2 linked regions of the Mus musculus genome follow. The protein of the gene in region 2 interacts with the protein of the main gene of each other region in a biochemical or structural test. Links are inferred from orthologs where the notes say so. Each region holds a gene or a part of one and is shown on either strand. Other genes may lie near its edges.

Evidence for each region. The genes of interacting proteins can lie anywhere in the genome.
Region 1: the proteins of Sirt1 (region 2) and Rps19bp1 form a complex in vitro, tested with the Homo sapiens proteins (2 studies listed by BioGRID and IntAct). The link is inferred for Mus musculus from reciprocal best matches to the Homo sapiens genes SIRT1 and RPS19BP1.

What each region holds. Positions count from the first base shown.
Region 1 is NC_000081.6:80,260,011-80,267,530, reverse strand, and holds Rps19bp1 (active regulator of SIRT1), read left to right. Parts: upstream 1-3,224; 5' UTR 3,225-3,252; coding exon 3,253-3,304; intron 3,305-3,413; coding exon 3,414-3,548; intron 3,549-6,136; coding exon 6,137-6,234; intron 6,235-6,400; coding exon 6,401-6,547; 3' UTR 6,548-6,917; downstream 6,918-7,520. UniProt on the Homo sapiens protein: Part of the small subunit (SSU) processome, first precursor of the small eukaryotic ribosomal subunit.
Region 2 is NC_000076.6:63,323,431-63,330,410, reverse strand, and holds part of Sirt1 (NAD-dependent protein deacetylase sirtuin-1), read left to right. Parts: intron 1-4,224; coding exon 4,225-4,372; intron 4,373-5,205; coding exon 5,206-5,285; intron 5,286-6,257; coding exon 6,258-6,444; intron 6,445-6,980. UniProt on the Homo sapiens protein: NAD-dependent protein deacetylase that links transcriptional regulation directly to intracellular energetics and participates in the coordination of several separated cellular functions such as cell cycle, response to DNA damage, metabolism, apoptosis and autophagy.

The sequences.
Region 1 (7,520 bases), on a different chromosome or scaffold from region 2:
AAAACGAAGTCACCTGACTCATAGTTGAAGACTATGATCATTCACACACACACACACACACACACACACACACACTAGTACATGCCTGTGCTGGCAGACATTTGTTCTCGCTGACACATCCATGCAACCTGCTCACACACAGTCATGTTCACACTCAGTCACGCTCACACTTGCTCCAGACTCACAGCCCTGACCTCTAGGCCTGGCTCTGTAGGAAATACCGTGTAGCTTTCTAGAAAATCCCTCCCTCAAAGGAAAGCCAAAGCAAAGCTACTCCCAAGATGAACGGTAGGGAGTCAGTGATGGGATTCTAAGAGGAGGAGGATAATCCTGTTTTCTTTATGCAGACACACCCCCTGCTAGGCACAGGAGAACCTTGAGATAGAGTCCTGTAAGGAGGGACCCAGGACAGAGACTAAGACTCAGAGCAGGAAAGTGGCTTCGCAAGACCACACAGCCAGGACAGAAACCATTCTGAGACCTTAAGACCCACCAGCTTCCACAGAGACCAGCAGGAGGCAGCTGCCTTCCCTGAACCTAACTTTAAGGGTTGGGGACAAACATAGCAGGAGGCAAGCAAGCACCCATGGGTGCCATGCCCGTTGCAGCTGTCTTGTCCACCATGCCAGAGTAGGAGGATGCAGAATGCCAGCACGGGCTATGTCTGCAATGTTCCAGGCAGTACCCCTTTCCTTGAAGGTGCTTCAGGAGTATTGCTTCATTGATCCCAGGTGGCTGAACTGTAAGGAAACGACTTCCGAGGTCTATTTAACAAACGGGGAAACCAAGGTGCTCTTCGAAATGGATTTGCCTAGGGTCACACGGCCCTCAGCAGTCTCTATACCAGATGCCTACATCCAACTGCCTGGGCACACTTTTCTGGAAAGAGACCTAGCCTCTATCCTGGGAGGCCCAGCTTGTTGCTTCTGCCTCAATTTCTCCATCCAGAGAGGATCATCTGGCTGCCAGTGGGAAGGCTGTATCACTGAACTAGCAGGGAGCCAATCCAGGAGCACTGGACCTCACACATCCATTCATCCACTCTGACTGTAGGTAGTGGAGCAGGAAGCCAAAGAATGCTGTCCTGCAGCGCCACCTAATGATCACATGGTCGCAATGTGGACAGCCACACAGGAATTGATTTCCTTCCTCAAGAAATATTAGACAGACAATATACCTACCTCAGTGAATGGAGTTTATGCATGTGAAACACAACAGGAACTTGACTCTTGTTAGCATTTGTTATTAAAAGTGTCTCCCTTCTGGACTAGTTTAGTAGAGATTTGACAATGAGAGTTGTCCAGGGAGAATCACTGTTTCTTTGTGTCCACATTCTACAGTATCAGGTACGCAAACCCCTCAGTATCTGTTGGCCCAGTGAGTCCAGATGTCCATTTTCACTCCCCATTCACAGACCGGCTAGCGCTTCATGGCTCCCACATACCAGGTGCTGGTTACGAGTCTCCACAAGTGAAATAAACCAGGCAGGGTTTCTCCTCATTGCCAAAAAATAATAATTTCTTCTGGGTTAGGAGGTTAGAAAGCTTGTTTGGCACTCAAGAGTCTGCATTTGATCATCAGCACTGCAAAAACACACGAAAGTGACGAAAAAGAAACCTCTAGACTAGAGGTTCTCAACCTTTTTGGTGTCATACGCTCTTTTCACTCTTAAAAACTCAGGGCTGAAGAGAAGGCTCAAAATAACCAAGAGCACTAGATGCTCTTCCAGCAGACTTGGGGTCGTCTCACATCAGCCTGTAATTATGCTTACTTCTGGCCTCCACAGGCATGGGGTATACCTATGGTGCACAGACATACATGCAGGCAAAAATCCATATGTGTGTGTGTGTGTGTGTGTGTGTAATATATATAAATATATGTATACTTAAATTAAAAACAAAAACGAAGCCAGGTGGTGGTGGCACACGCTTTTAATCCCAGCACTTGGGAGGCAGAGGCAGGCTGATTTCTGAGTTCAAAGCCAGCCTGGTCTACAGAGTGAGTTCCAGGACAGTCAGGGCTGCACAGAGAAACCCTGTCTTGAGAGGGGGGGGGGGGAACTCATGTAACCAGAGAACATTTATGTGTAATATTTATCGATAGAATATTTACATCTATGTGTAATATTGATTGTAATATTTATTGATCTATCAGACTAAAAACTGACCTTTTTTTTTTCAATACTAGGGATTAAATCCAAGCATTCTACCGCCAAGCTATTAATACATCCTAGCTCTTCTTATTAATCTGTAACCCAGACTGGTCTAGAATTTGGAGTGTAGCTATGTGATATAAACTGACCTGAAACTTGCCACTCTCCTGCCTCGGCTTCCCAGGTGCTGGTATTCTAAGTGTTCTGGTATCACTGTGCCCAGCAGTATTTACTGTTTCGCCTGACAACCAACTCATTGCTTAATAACATAAACAGTATTTTGCAGCAAATAGCTGTATTTTTCAAAACAAAGCACTTTATTTTGCATGTTTGCAAATCTATTTCTTTGTTGGGGTTTTTTTTTTTTTTTGGTCTTTTGTTTGGTTTTTTCCTTTTGTTAGTTTTGGTTTGGTTTGTTTGTTTGTTTGTTTGTTTGTTTGTTTGAGACAGAGTCTTGCTATGTAGCCCAAGTTAGCCTGGAACTCAGAGCAACAATCTCTGTTCAATCTCCCAAGTATTGGGACTACAAAGTACGACACCTAACCTCCTTGGCTTTACTGATTCTCACACAGATTCTCACAGTGCACGGGACCGGTGTAATGCTTTGAAGGTCATGAAAACTGTCTAAGCCCGGCAAAGTGGCTTAGGTCTGTAAATCCGGCCCTTGGGCGGCAGAGAGAGAAGGATCAGGAGTTCAAAGTCATCCTCAGCTACAATCGAGTTCAAGGACAGCCTAGGCTAGATGTATCCTTGTCTAAAAAGAAAGTAGAAAGAATCACTTCTTTTGCAGGAACTCAGTCTATTCCACACTTGGCCCCTGGACAGAATTGACCAGTAAGGCTAGAAGTCGAGTCTGCCCGCCCACACAGCCTGGATCACCAGAGACCTGTTGCTTAGAAATTGAACAACTGTGGCTTCTGCGCTTTGGACACGCCCCTAGCTCCCCGCTCCTCCGGGGCTATAGGAAAGCCATTGAGCCTGCGTTCTAAGGCAGCACTTCCGCTCGCTGCGGAACCCTGAGCTCCTGCTCCAGTTTCTGCCGAGGAGCGAACACCGCCAGGGCGGAAGTAGCTCGCCGCGTGTGGGCGGGGCTCGGAAACATGTCGGCGGCGTTAGTGCGGCGCGGTTTGGAGCTTCTGGCGGCGTCCGAGGGTGAGGAGAGCAGGTCCTGCGACAGTCGCGCTGTGTAGGAGAGCCAGCCGGGCGGGTGGGGAGGGAGAGCGCGCCCTTCAACTCGGTCCTTCGCTGCCTTTCCCCGTAGCTCCCCGTGCGGTCCCGGGCCAGGTCCAGGCTAGCGGGACTCCGGCGAAGCGGACCCGGAGGGCGCGGGCCAAGGCCTCCCAGGCTCTGAAACTGCGGAACTCAGCGAAGGGAAAGGCGCCTAAGTCCGCTCTAGGTGAGTTGAGAAAGACTGTGAGCGCTTCTTAGAATTGGGGGCAGCGCCTTCGAGTCGGGAGTTCCAAACGTTCCCCGAGACTCCACAAGGAAAAGGCAAAATGAATGTTCAAATCGTGGGGGACAGGTTTCGAACCCAAGCAATCTAATTCCCAGGTCTGCCGCTGTCTGCTATGTGGCAGTTAACAGGATGAGAGAAAGAGGGAAAAGCCTGGGAGTGGTGACACACATCTGTCATCCCTGCACTTGAGAGGTGGAGGCAGGAGAATCAGAAGTTCTGTGTCTTTCCGTGGTGAGTTCAGGGCAAGACCTAATCGTGAAGGCAGATGAAACGCAAGACCCAGGCGCTTGTGAGCTCTAGCCGTGGTGGGGAGAGAAACATCAGAGAGTCTCTCTTAATTATTTATTTATTTATTTATTTGGCTTTTTGATACAGAGTTTCTCAGTATAGCCCTGGCTGTCCTGGAACTTACTCTGTAGACCAGGCTGGCCTCGAACTCAGAAATCTACCTGCCTCTGCCTCCCAAGTGCTAGGATTAAAGGCGTGCGCCACACGCTTACTCTGTAGACCAGCCATCAGAGAGTCTCAAAACTAACAAGCAGGGTTTTGCCAAGTGAGTGAGGCTTGTGAGGTGAAAGGCTCTGCAGTGCTCCGAGGAAGAATCAAACTAACAAGCCAAGGTGGAAGCAACGTTAAGGCATCTGAGAAGGTTTTAGCCAGAAAGGCTTGAGAATTTGGAAGAAGGCTAACGGGTAAGATGAGCAAGAGGCAAGATGGAGGACCCATCAGGGATAGAGGGCTGGCTCACTGGTTAAGAGCACTTGCTGCTTGCTCTTCCAGAGGACCTGGAGCCCCCCAGAAGCCCACAAAGCTGCTCACAGCCCACTGTAACTCCAGGTCTGGGGATTAGATACCCTCTTCTGATTCCACAGACGCTCACTTGGGGTGCACATACATACACTAAGGCACGCAACACACACACATTTATGAAATGAAGCACTCAGTCAACAGTTTACCCTTCTAAACTAACTAACTCGTTTGACCCTCACGGCAGCCCTGTGAGATGAGCAGATCTCTCCCCCACTTTACAGTTACAGAAACAGGCACCTGCCCAGGTGATAGAGGTGGAAGCCGGGCAAATTGTCCCCGTGCTGTTGCTCTTAATGTGCTCTGCTCAGGTGACAGTGCCTCCTTCCATCCCAGTAGGGACAGCAGAAGTGAGTTGATATCATTTACCAGTGAAGTGTCTGCAAAGCAGAAACCTTGTTTCCAGTAGAGCAGCTTAGGGGGTGTGGCACAGGTAGTAAGGCCTCCTTGAGAAGGGGCACAGGATGGTACGCATGTTGCTTTCTTCTTTGACTCCATGCCTCTGCTCTATAAAGGGAGTTGAGGTACTCGGGTTTCATTGTGTGTTTGTTTCTCCCAGTTTTGGAGGCGGGGGGGGGGGGGGGGAGTTATTTTGGCTCGGGCAGGCCTGGACCTCACTGTATAGCACAGGCTAGCCATGATATAGCACAGGCTAGCCACGACCTTAAATCAGCCTTCCTGCTTCAGCCTCCTAAGCACTGGATGATAGGCACACACCACTGCACCCAGCCTGGGAGTCCTTGTTAAAAGCTATGTCGTTCAAGAGGAAACACTATGAACAGAGGTGGAGCTAGGAGGCATGCACAGACACTAGTGGTTTGCACGAGTTCATGTCAAGGTGCCTCCCTCCCTGCCCAGTTATCCCAATAACTGGAGGACAGGAGTGGGGTTCCCTTCACTCCTGTCCTGAGGTAAGCACTCCTCAAGACACAGGACTAACCTCCCATCCCCAACCCTGGATTTTCCATGGTCCTCGTGGCTGGTCTACTGCCTAGTACATAATGGGTAGGCAGGACAATAGCCGGGCATGGTGGTGGTACACGCCTTTAATCCCAGTACTCCGGAAATTCCAACCCCCAAGAAAGAAAATGGAAACCCTCTAAAATGTGTGTTACTGTTCTTCTCAGTTCCTTCCCTGTAGAAATGAAAACAGGAGCTCATGTGTCCTTTGTGCCTGATGCACAGTTATGCTCAGGGTAGACCTTGTGTTATTTGGTGGTGGTGGTGGATTTTTGTTATGCTGTTTTTAAACATAACCCTTTCTGATCTGACTGTGTAGCTAGGAGCAGTCTTCCTATCTTGGCCTCCCCAGTGCTGGGATTACAGGTGCCATGCCTGGCTTAAGACACAGTCATGCCGGGCGTTGTGGTACACGCCTTTAATCCCAGCACTTGGGAGGCAGAGGCAGACAGATTTCTGAGTTCGAGGACAGCCTGGTCTACAGAGTGAGTTCCAGGACAGCCAGGGCTACACAGAGAAACCCTGTGGGTTTGGGGGGGTGGGGGGGACAGTCACGTGACTAACTGATGCTATCCAATAGGGTCTATGAGATTTGCAGCAGACAGTACTTATGGGAAATGTAGATTTGGTTTAGAAGAGACCAGGTTGTGAAATATTCCCTTCTAGGGAAAGGACAGTGGGGCCTTGGGCAGGGGAAGGGACCCAGAAGGCTTCTAATGTACAATGAGTCTGAAATGACATGCCCTGCCTGCCACCCACAGCTGAGTACCAGAAACGGCAGTGTCGAGACCACCTCAAAGCAAACCTGAAGTTTATGACCAGCATGAGAAGCACCGTGCCAGAGTCTGTGACCCAGCAGGTTTGTCGAGGGTGTGAGCTTAGGGACCTGGGTGATAACTGAGGCTGTCCTTCAGAGTCCGTGCGGTTCTCAGCCCTGCCCTGAGCCATAAGCCCTGTGGGCTCAAAGGTTTCCATCTGTGCTTCCAAAGATGGGTGTCCTGTGCCCTTACTCTGAACCTTTTCAGATCCTGCAGCAGAACCAAGGCCGAAAAGCCTGTGATCGGCTAGTGGCCAAGACGAAGAACAAGAAGAAGAAGAAGAAGAAGGCTGAGGGCACTGTGTTCACTGAAGAAGACTTCCAGAAGTTCCAGAGGGAATATTTTGGCAGCTAGACTTCCTGGAGGAATGGTGGGGACAAAAGACACTAACCCTCCTTGGCTGGACTTCTGCTGTCCTGGGTCCCTGCAGTGCTGTGCCACGAGCGACCAGCAGGTGGCAGTGCAAAACTAGCCTGGCTCAGGAAGCCATATGCTGCTATCCCAGGGACACTGGAACAGAGCTGCAAGCCCTGCAGCAAATTTTCCCTCAAACTGAAGTGGACTTCTAGTTTGGCGGAACCATCAGCACCCTGCCAGAAAAGATTCTGACCTGCCAGCTATGACCAGGATTGGTTATCAGGGCTATTTGGTACTGGGCCCACTCAGACCCCACCTCAAGGAGCTGGAAATTCAAATAAATAAATGTGAGTTTGGGCAAATGTGGATTCAAGTGTGTGTGTGTGTGTGTGTGTGTGTGTGTGTGTGTGTGTGTTACAATGTGTTTCCCATCTCAGTGTGGATCTCGGTTCTTCTAGGTTTCCGTGTTAAAGTCCCCAGCCTTGGCCCAGCATAAATGACTTCCTTCTACCAGCGAGGGCCTCCTCTCTGGGCACAGTTACTGTAGCTGCTAGAGTTGCCCAGGAAGTGGACAGGAAGGTCACCTCCACCCTGCTGGATTTTGGGATCTGCTATGGCATCAGTGGAGAGCAGAAAGTCAGTCGTATGTCATTTGATATCTGGGCCTAGGTCATGGTTTCCGGAGTCCTCAGCAAGCAGGTTTACAGGTTTGCATAAAGTCTGTACCCAACCAAGGACCGCAGTGAAAGCTATGGTTGTGCCCCTCAGAGCAAACCGGACTCTCCAGCAGTGCAGTGCCAGTCACAAAGGAAAGATCGTGTGGAATGAGCACACTGGGGGAGAACAAGTGGCAAGGGAAGGACTGACCTGTCACAGGGACCAGGAGACCCCTCAGTGCAGATGGACACATTCCTTTTTTGTTTGTTTTTGTTTTTTTGAGACAGGGTTTCTCTGTGTAGCCCTGGCTGTC
Region 2 (6,980 bases):
ACTGTAAGGGTGCTTTAGTTCTTGTCTCCGTATCCTGGTGCTGGGATTAGAGGATGGCCAGACTTTGCAGCTAAGGTGTACTATTGGAAGCTGTGCTGCTACACTGTTTAAAGAATACCAGTCAAAGATTGTTTTAATGGATGCAGGACCCTGGTGTATCATGGTGTCTACTATAAGTAGACACAGATTTAGGAAGGCCAGCAAGTAAAAGTTACTTTCATCTTATACAAGCATAGCTGGTTAGTGATTATATGTTAGTATTCCCACAACTTTTCTTATAAATTCTATGTTGTGAGTTGGGGAAACTGCATTGTCATAACTAGTCTTTTTTTTTTTCCCCCCCAGTATTTTACCGGGATTGTCAAGTGCAGATACATATCTAAAATTGAAAGTTCCACATGTTCTTAAAATTACATTTAGTTATTTATTGCTTATGTAGGTGTATGGGCAAGCATCATTTTGTTCCTCTTTAGGGGATTATAAGGACTAGAATTCCAGTAAACTTAGCTCTCCAATAATGCGTAACAAGCTAACCCTTTTATGTCCCTAATCCAGGGTTTAGGAGGTGGAGGCAGAAGGGTCTCAAGAGTTAAGGGCAGTCTCTGCTAAACACTTGAGTTCCAGGCTCTCCTGGGTTACAGAGTGAAATAGCACACAGTGGTAGACCATTTTTAGCACAAGGCCCCAGATTTTGCTACCCACAAAGAATACACATGCTAAAGTATGTTTTTCCTAAATTTTAATTGTGTTTTAGGGCAGATTAAAGGCATAAAAAATTAGTTTGATTAAAAAAAGATAGATGGGATAATTAAAGTGACCTTAGTTTGTGGATGATATTCTATATGTAGACCCTAAAAGCCTCACCAGAGAACTCCCCCTTTTTATGTACCACCTAACAAACATGGGCAGGGAGGAAATCTGGAAAAAGTCTTCATAGTCATCTCAGACAACAGAGGCTGGAGAGGCGAGCCAGTGGTTATGTGTGCATGCTGCTGCTTGCACCTTTCAGAGGTCAGTTTCCAGCATCTGTATCCAGAGGCTCTACAGCTGCAGTTATCCCCAGGCCCAGTTGAGTCACGTGCTGCTGGCCTTCAGGCCTCCACTTCATGGCACCTGCACTCACCCACATCCTCTACCCCAGACATGCAGATAATTAAAAGTGTTAAAATGGGGGCCGTTGAGAGCAGCACTTGTTCTTGCACAGAGGATCAGAGTTTGGTTCCTACCACTCACATGGTGGCTCATAACCATCCATTACTCCACTTCTCTCCAACTCCCCTTTCTGTCATCCTTGGGCACCAAGCAAGCATGTGGTACATATATATTACCTTCAGGCAAAGCACTCATTTATATAAAATTACTTCTTAATATAAAAAACCAAGGGTTAGGTATGGTAGTGCAGGTCTTTAATCTCAGTCCTTTGGAGTTAGAGGCAGGTGGACCATCTAGGGCTACATAATAAGACCCTACCTTTAATTCAGTTTTATCCATATGAACTATGTATAACATGAAGTATGTGTAATGCTCTGCATTATCATATGTGTGTGAGTTTTGCATGTTCATGTTCAAGTTCAGTAAGAATTAGTTCATAGCTTCCCTAGTTGAAATTCTTTTATTTGGTTAGTCGGTTTGGCATACATACTATCAAAATTATTTCCTGAAATGTGATGAAATATTGTATAATTCTCCATGAGTGATGACCTATGGATTACTTTAAGTGGACAGATAAGTGCATTTTTTATGGTATACATTATATTGTATTTATAGGATGGCTATATCGTTAACATCCATTACTTTACATAGGTATTTCTACTCTTACATCAAGACATTGTAGATACACAATGTTAGTAATTGTAATCTCTAGTCTAAATATTGTTCTCCCTCAGAGATTATGTGTCGGCTCACTAGCTTCTTCCCAATCTTACTCTACCATATTAGCTGAGAATTAATTGTTAATAACTGGGAGCTGTCACAGGACCACTGTTTTACATTTACTATTCTGTCCTTGAGTCAGTTTTATGACCGCCACGTCTATTTACAGATCATCTTTGACTTCTTTTTCTATATGAGACCATATGGCAAATGTATAGCCCATAAAGCCTAAAATATTCCCTGTTGTGACCCTGTACAGAAAATATGTTCTGTTAAAATTAAATAACCTTCAAGAGGTAGCTGTCAAGAAATTGAGTGGAGTTTAATGAATAAGTAGGAGGAGGGTTCTTAGTGGAATTTTGTTTCACATTGCATGTGTGTGGTGTGTATGCAGTGTGCAGTGTAGATCTCTTGTTTTGAGGCAGTCTGATGTAGGCCAGGCTCTCGCCATCTCTTGGGACAGGGGATCCTGCTAGACTGTTCAGCTGGAGTCCCTTGTTTCTGCCTCCTGCATTCAGAGTTAGAGCACTGGGCCTCAAACTGACAGTGTAAATACTTCCCACTGCTCTAGTTTCTCTACCCCTTCACATTTTTATGTGCTGTTGGGATTAAACTCTGTGCCTCCCATGCCACCAGCCTTCTAGTGTTTATAGAATGAAAATGTAGGTTATAACCAAACAAACTCAACTGTTTTCCTAGGTTCTACAACTCTAAGATTAGGTGAATTTTGCCTCTACCTCCGAGTGCTGGGATTAAAGGTGTATGCCACCAACACTACGCAGGCTATTATCTTTTAACAAAAAAATTTAAACTTTTGATCTCAGCAGAATACCCAACATAGTTGGTTTCTTAAAAGCCTTTAGGATGTTTAGACTTGAGATGGGTGACCTATCTTTTTGATTTGGAATAATTAACCCATGCCCTATAAAAAAACTCCAAGCTATTTGAGTTACAGCAGAATTTTTAGATTCAGTCTATATAAGGCAAAATTTTCATTAAAAGTTTTTAGAATTTTTAGAATTTATAGAATATTTCCAGCTGTTTCTTAATGGGATTCCAGGCATGTGCCACTCAGTCCAGCTTCATGAGTGCTTTCTGAATGCACTGTAATGGAGAGCAAAATTAAAGACAGGACCATCCATATGTATATACACATAACTTCAGTTTTTGCTTAATACAACCAGAAAGATTACACCCTGGTGACTAACTTGCTTTGTTCATGTGTGTCATGGTCTATTTTTAGGTCAGTACATGAGAGCCCTCTCATTCTCTCAGTGGCTGAATATTCCACTGTATGGTTGTACCTTGCACAACTAGTTTCCGTATTGATGGACATACATATGGTTGTGTTTAGTTTTTGCTAACATTATAATGGGTTAGATAAAGCCTATAATGTAAGGAAACAGATAGTGTAAGCTACTTGAAAGAAAAAAGAAACTTCCTTGCCACAGTCACTCACTAAATGAAATTGAATAAGAACACTATCAGGAGTTGTGAGGATGAGGGGCTGAAGAGATGGCTCAGCACTTAAGAGCACTGGCTGCTCTTCCAAAGGGCCTGGGTTCAGTTCCCAGCACCCACATGGCATGTGGATCTGACACCCTCACACAGACATACATGCAGGCAAAATATCAATGCACATATAAATGAGTAAATTAATAAATGTATATATTTAAAAAGTTGGGAGGACCAAAATTGATACTTTTTCTCTGATCTTTTTGCCATGTGTATATCTGAATTCTTTGTTTTTAAAGAAGAAACAGCATTGAAGCATTATTTGGGGGGAAAAACACACACACAAAATCCAGCAACTCAACATTCATGAGCAGCTCTGTTCTATACCAGTATGTGCCTGTGCAGTGGAAGGAAAGCAATTTTGGTAAGGAATTAAAACTTCAGCTTTAAACTCCCAGCAGGTTGATATTTATCAATGATGAATCAAACAGAAAGTTTTAAATAATTCATTGACAGCCTTTTTTTTAGTTGTAAAGTCACCATACCTTTAATATCTGTAATTTCAGTGTAAAGTTTTCCCCCCTTTTTCCTTAAAGAAAAACTATGAATTTGCAGCCAACAAAGTTTAGATGTATCTAAGGTATGTATTTCTTCTGACATTAAGTAGTCCATTACGATGTGTTATCTTGCACTTCAAGGGACCAAGTTTACTAATTGCTGAGTTTTCATAAAGTAACAAGCTTTTTCTAGGGGCCATCCATTTAGATGCTTTAAAATGTTCATGTATTTTGGTTATTACAGAATATTTATTGTTAGTACCTGTTTGACTAAACATAAGCAGGATATCTGTTATGCTTCTTTCATTAATTAAACTTTTCTGCCTTTTGCATTACATAGGAAATATATCCCGGACAGTTCCAGCCGTCTCTGTGTCACAAATTCATAGCTTTGTCAGATAAGGAAGGAAAACTACTTCGAAATTATACTCAAAATATAGATACCTTGGAGCAGGTTGCAGGAATCCAAAGGATCCTTCAGTGTCATGGTTAGTGACGTCACAGTGGCTCTCGTAGGGCGTTCAATAGGTAACCGGGCTTGGAAAGAAGCTGCTGTCTAGTGACGAGACTAAGCGTTATTTAGTAACCTTGAGTGGACAAAATTGAAAAGGACACAAACAAAGCTGAAGGCCTCAGATGTGGTGGGTATACTTTGATAACAAGTTCAAGGCTAGCCTTGACTAAACAAGACACAGCCAAGCTAAGGTAACTCAGTTGGAACCTTCCAGCTGCAGTTTTGGCACTTGCAGAGTTATGTTATTGCAAATAGTAGCTTTAGAAGATAAGGTCTATATACACATGTATTAGTAGATAAACTATATCACATGTATTATATTCCTTAAATACGTCACAGGAGAGTTCAGGTTAGTCTTCATGGTGGGGCTAGAGAGATGGCTCTGCATTTAAGAGCATTAAGAGCACTGACTGCTCTTCCAGAGGTCCTGTGTTCAATCCCCAGCAACCACATGGTGGCTCACAACTATCTGTAATGAATGCCCTCTTCTGGCATGTAGCAGTGCAGGCAGATACAGCATTCATACATAAAACTGTAAAAAGTCTTCATGGAGCAAGCCACAAATAGCCCTTCAATAAATGTTCTATTTGGTGCTGGAGAGATGGCTCAGTGGTTAAGAGCACCAACTGCTCTTCCAAAGGTCCTGAGTTCAAATCCCAGCAACCACATGGTGGCTCACAACCATCTGTAATGAGATCTGACGCTCCTCTGGTACATCTGAAATCTGAAGACAGCTACAGTGTACTTAGATATAATAATAAATAAATATTAAAAAAAAAAATAAATGTTCTATTTTGGTTGTTTTAGGTTCCTTTGCAACAGCATCTTGCCTGATTTGTAAATACAAAGTTGATTGTGAAGCTGTTCGTGGAGACATTTTTAATCAGGTAATTTAATTCATCTCATTTTAGGAATTGTGTAAACTTCACTTTTGGTTGTATCTTCATCCCCCCCCCCCCCCCCTTCTGAGAAGCATGAGTGTTAGAAATCCTGATGTAAACAGGTCTTTTTTGCAAGAGCATGTTAGAGCACACTTGAAGGCTGAGGCAGGGCACTGTAAGAGTCAGGCTAACCTGAGCTGGATAGCAAGAGTCTCATTTTTTAAAAAAAAAGTTTTTCTGTTGCTCAGTTGGTAGATCATGGCTGCTTAGCATTTGTAGTCCTGGGATTGCTCTCCTGCCTGAAATCCTACCATTTAAGGAGGTTGGAGAATAAGAAGTTGAAGGTCATGGTCACCTACAAACTCTTTCTCAAACCAACCAACCTAAAGTCCTCCTTAATACACCTAAGCACCTCCTTATATAATCTAGGCCTAAGTCACAAGTTGCAGGGAACACCTCTGGAATTAGTCTTACATTAGTTGTGGTAAGATTTAAAACACTTTTCAAAATGATAATGAAGTATTTATTACAGGAAAATATAGCAACACACATCCAGATATATGTTTTAACTTTGAACTCATGTATAACCAGGAAAAAAAAAGACAGTATACTCAAATGGAGTCATTTTCATAAATATTTTTAAAAGGTCTTGTTTTCATTCTTTACCACGCTCTTTGCATATTTATAGTATCTTGTGGGTGCACAGTGCGTATGGGGAAATGATAGCATGTGTGGAGACTGGATAAGAGAGATCAGGCTGTGGAGGTCAGAAGATCAACCTGGGAGTCAGTTCTCAATTTCTACCTGGGAGTTAAATTTGGTTGTCCGGCTTGGTGAAAAGTGTCCCTGCCTGGTAGGTCACCCACCCCCAGGCTCCACACTGGCTCCACAGCAGACACTATCAAATTCACAGCGCTTTGTTTGCTGGGAATGTGCCGAGTGCTAACCTGGGCTACTTGACTTTCATGTTTTGTGCAGGTAGTTCCTCGGTGCCCTAGGTGCCCAGCTGATGAGCCACTTGCCATCATGAAGCCAGAGATTGTCTTCTTTGGTGAAAACTTACCAGAACAGTTTCATAGAGCCATGAAGTATGACAAAGATGAAGTTGACCTCCTCATTGTTATTGGATCTTCTCTGAAAGTGAGACCAGTAGCACTAATTCCAAGTAAGTTGATGTTTAGGGGACAGTTGTGCATGCTGTGAGTTGTGGATCTGTGTAAGATGTGATTTTACTCTTTTCATTTAGAAAATAGTTGAAGGTCTAAGTTTTACTTTTTAGGTGATACTCATAAAGTGACATTTTGGTATGGGAATGGGACTGTGAAGACAGAATATCAGATTTTAATTGTAGTTCATATAAAATCAAAGCAAAACTGTTTGACGCATGCTTTTTAGTAGTGTGCATATTAAAGTTGCAGAGGTCAGCTTTAATTAATTCCAGGAATAGTCTCTTCTTTTTATTTTATGTGTGGGGGTGTTTGCCTGCATGTCTGCCTACTTTGGCCAGACAAGAATGTTAAGAGTGTCCTTCCAAGGGGCTGGTGAGATGGCTTAGCAGTTAAGAGCACTGATTGCTCTTCCAAAATAACACTTTAAAAAAAAAAAGTGTCGCCCCCTCCCCCAAACAGTAGTTCTCAACCTTCCTAATGATGTAGTCCCTTTTGTACAATTCATGTTATAACCTCCAATGATAAAAAATTT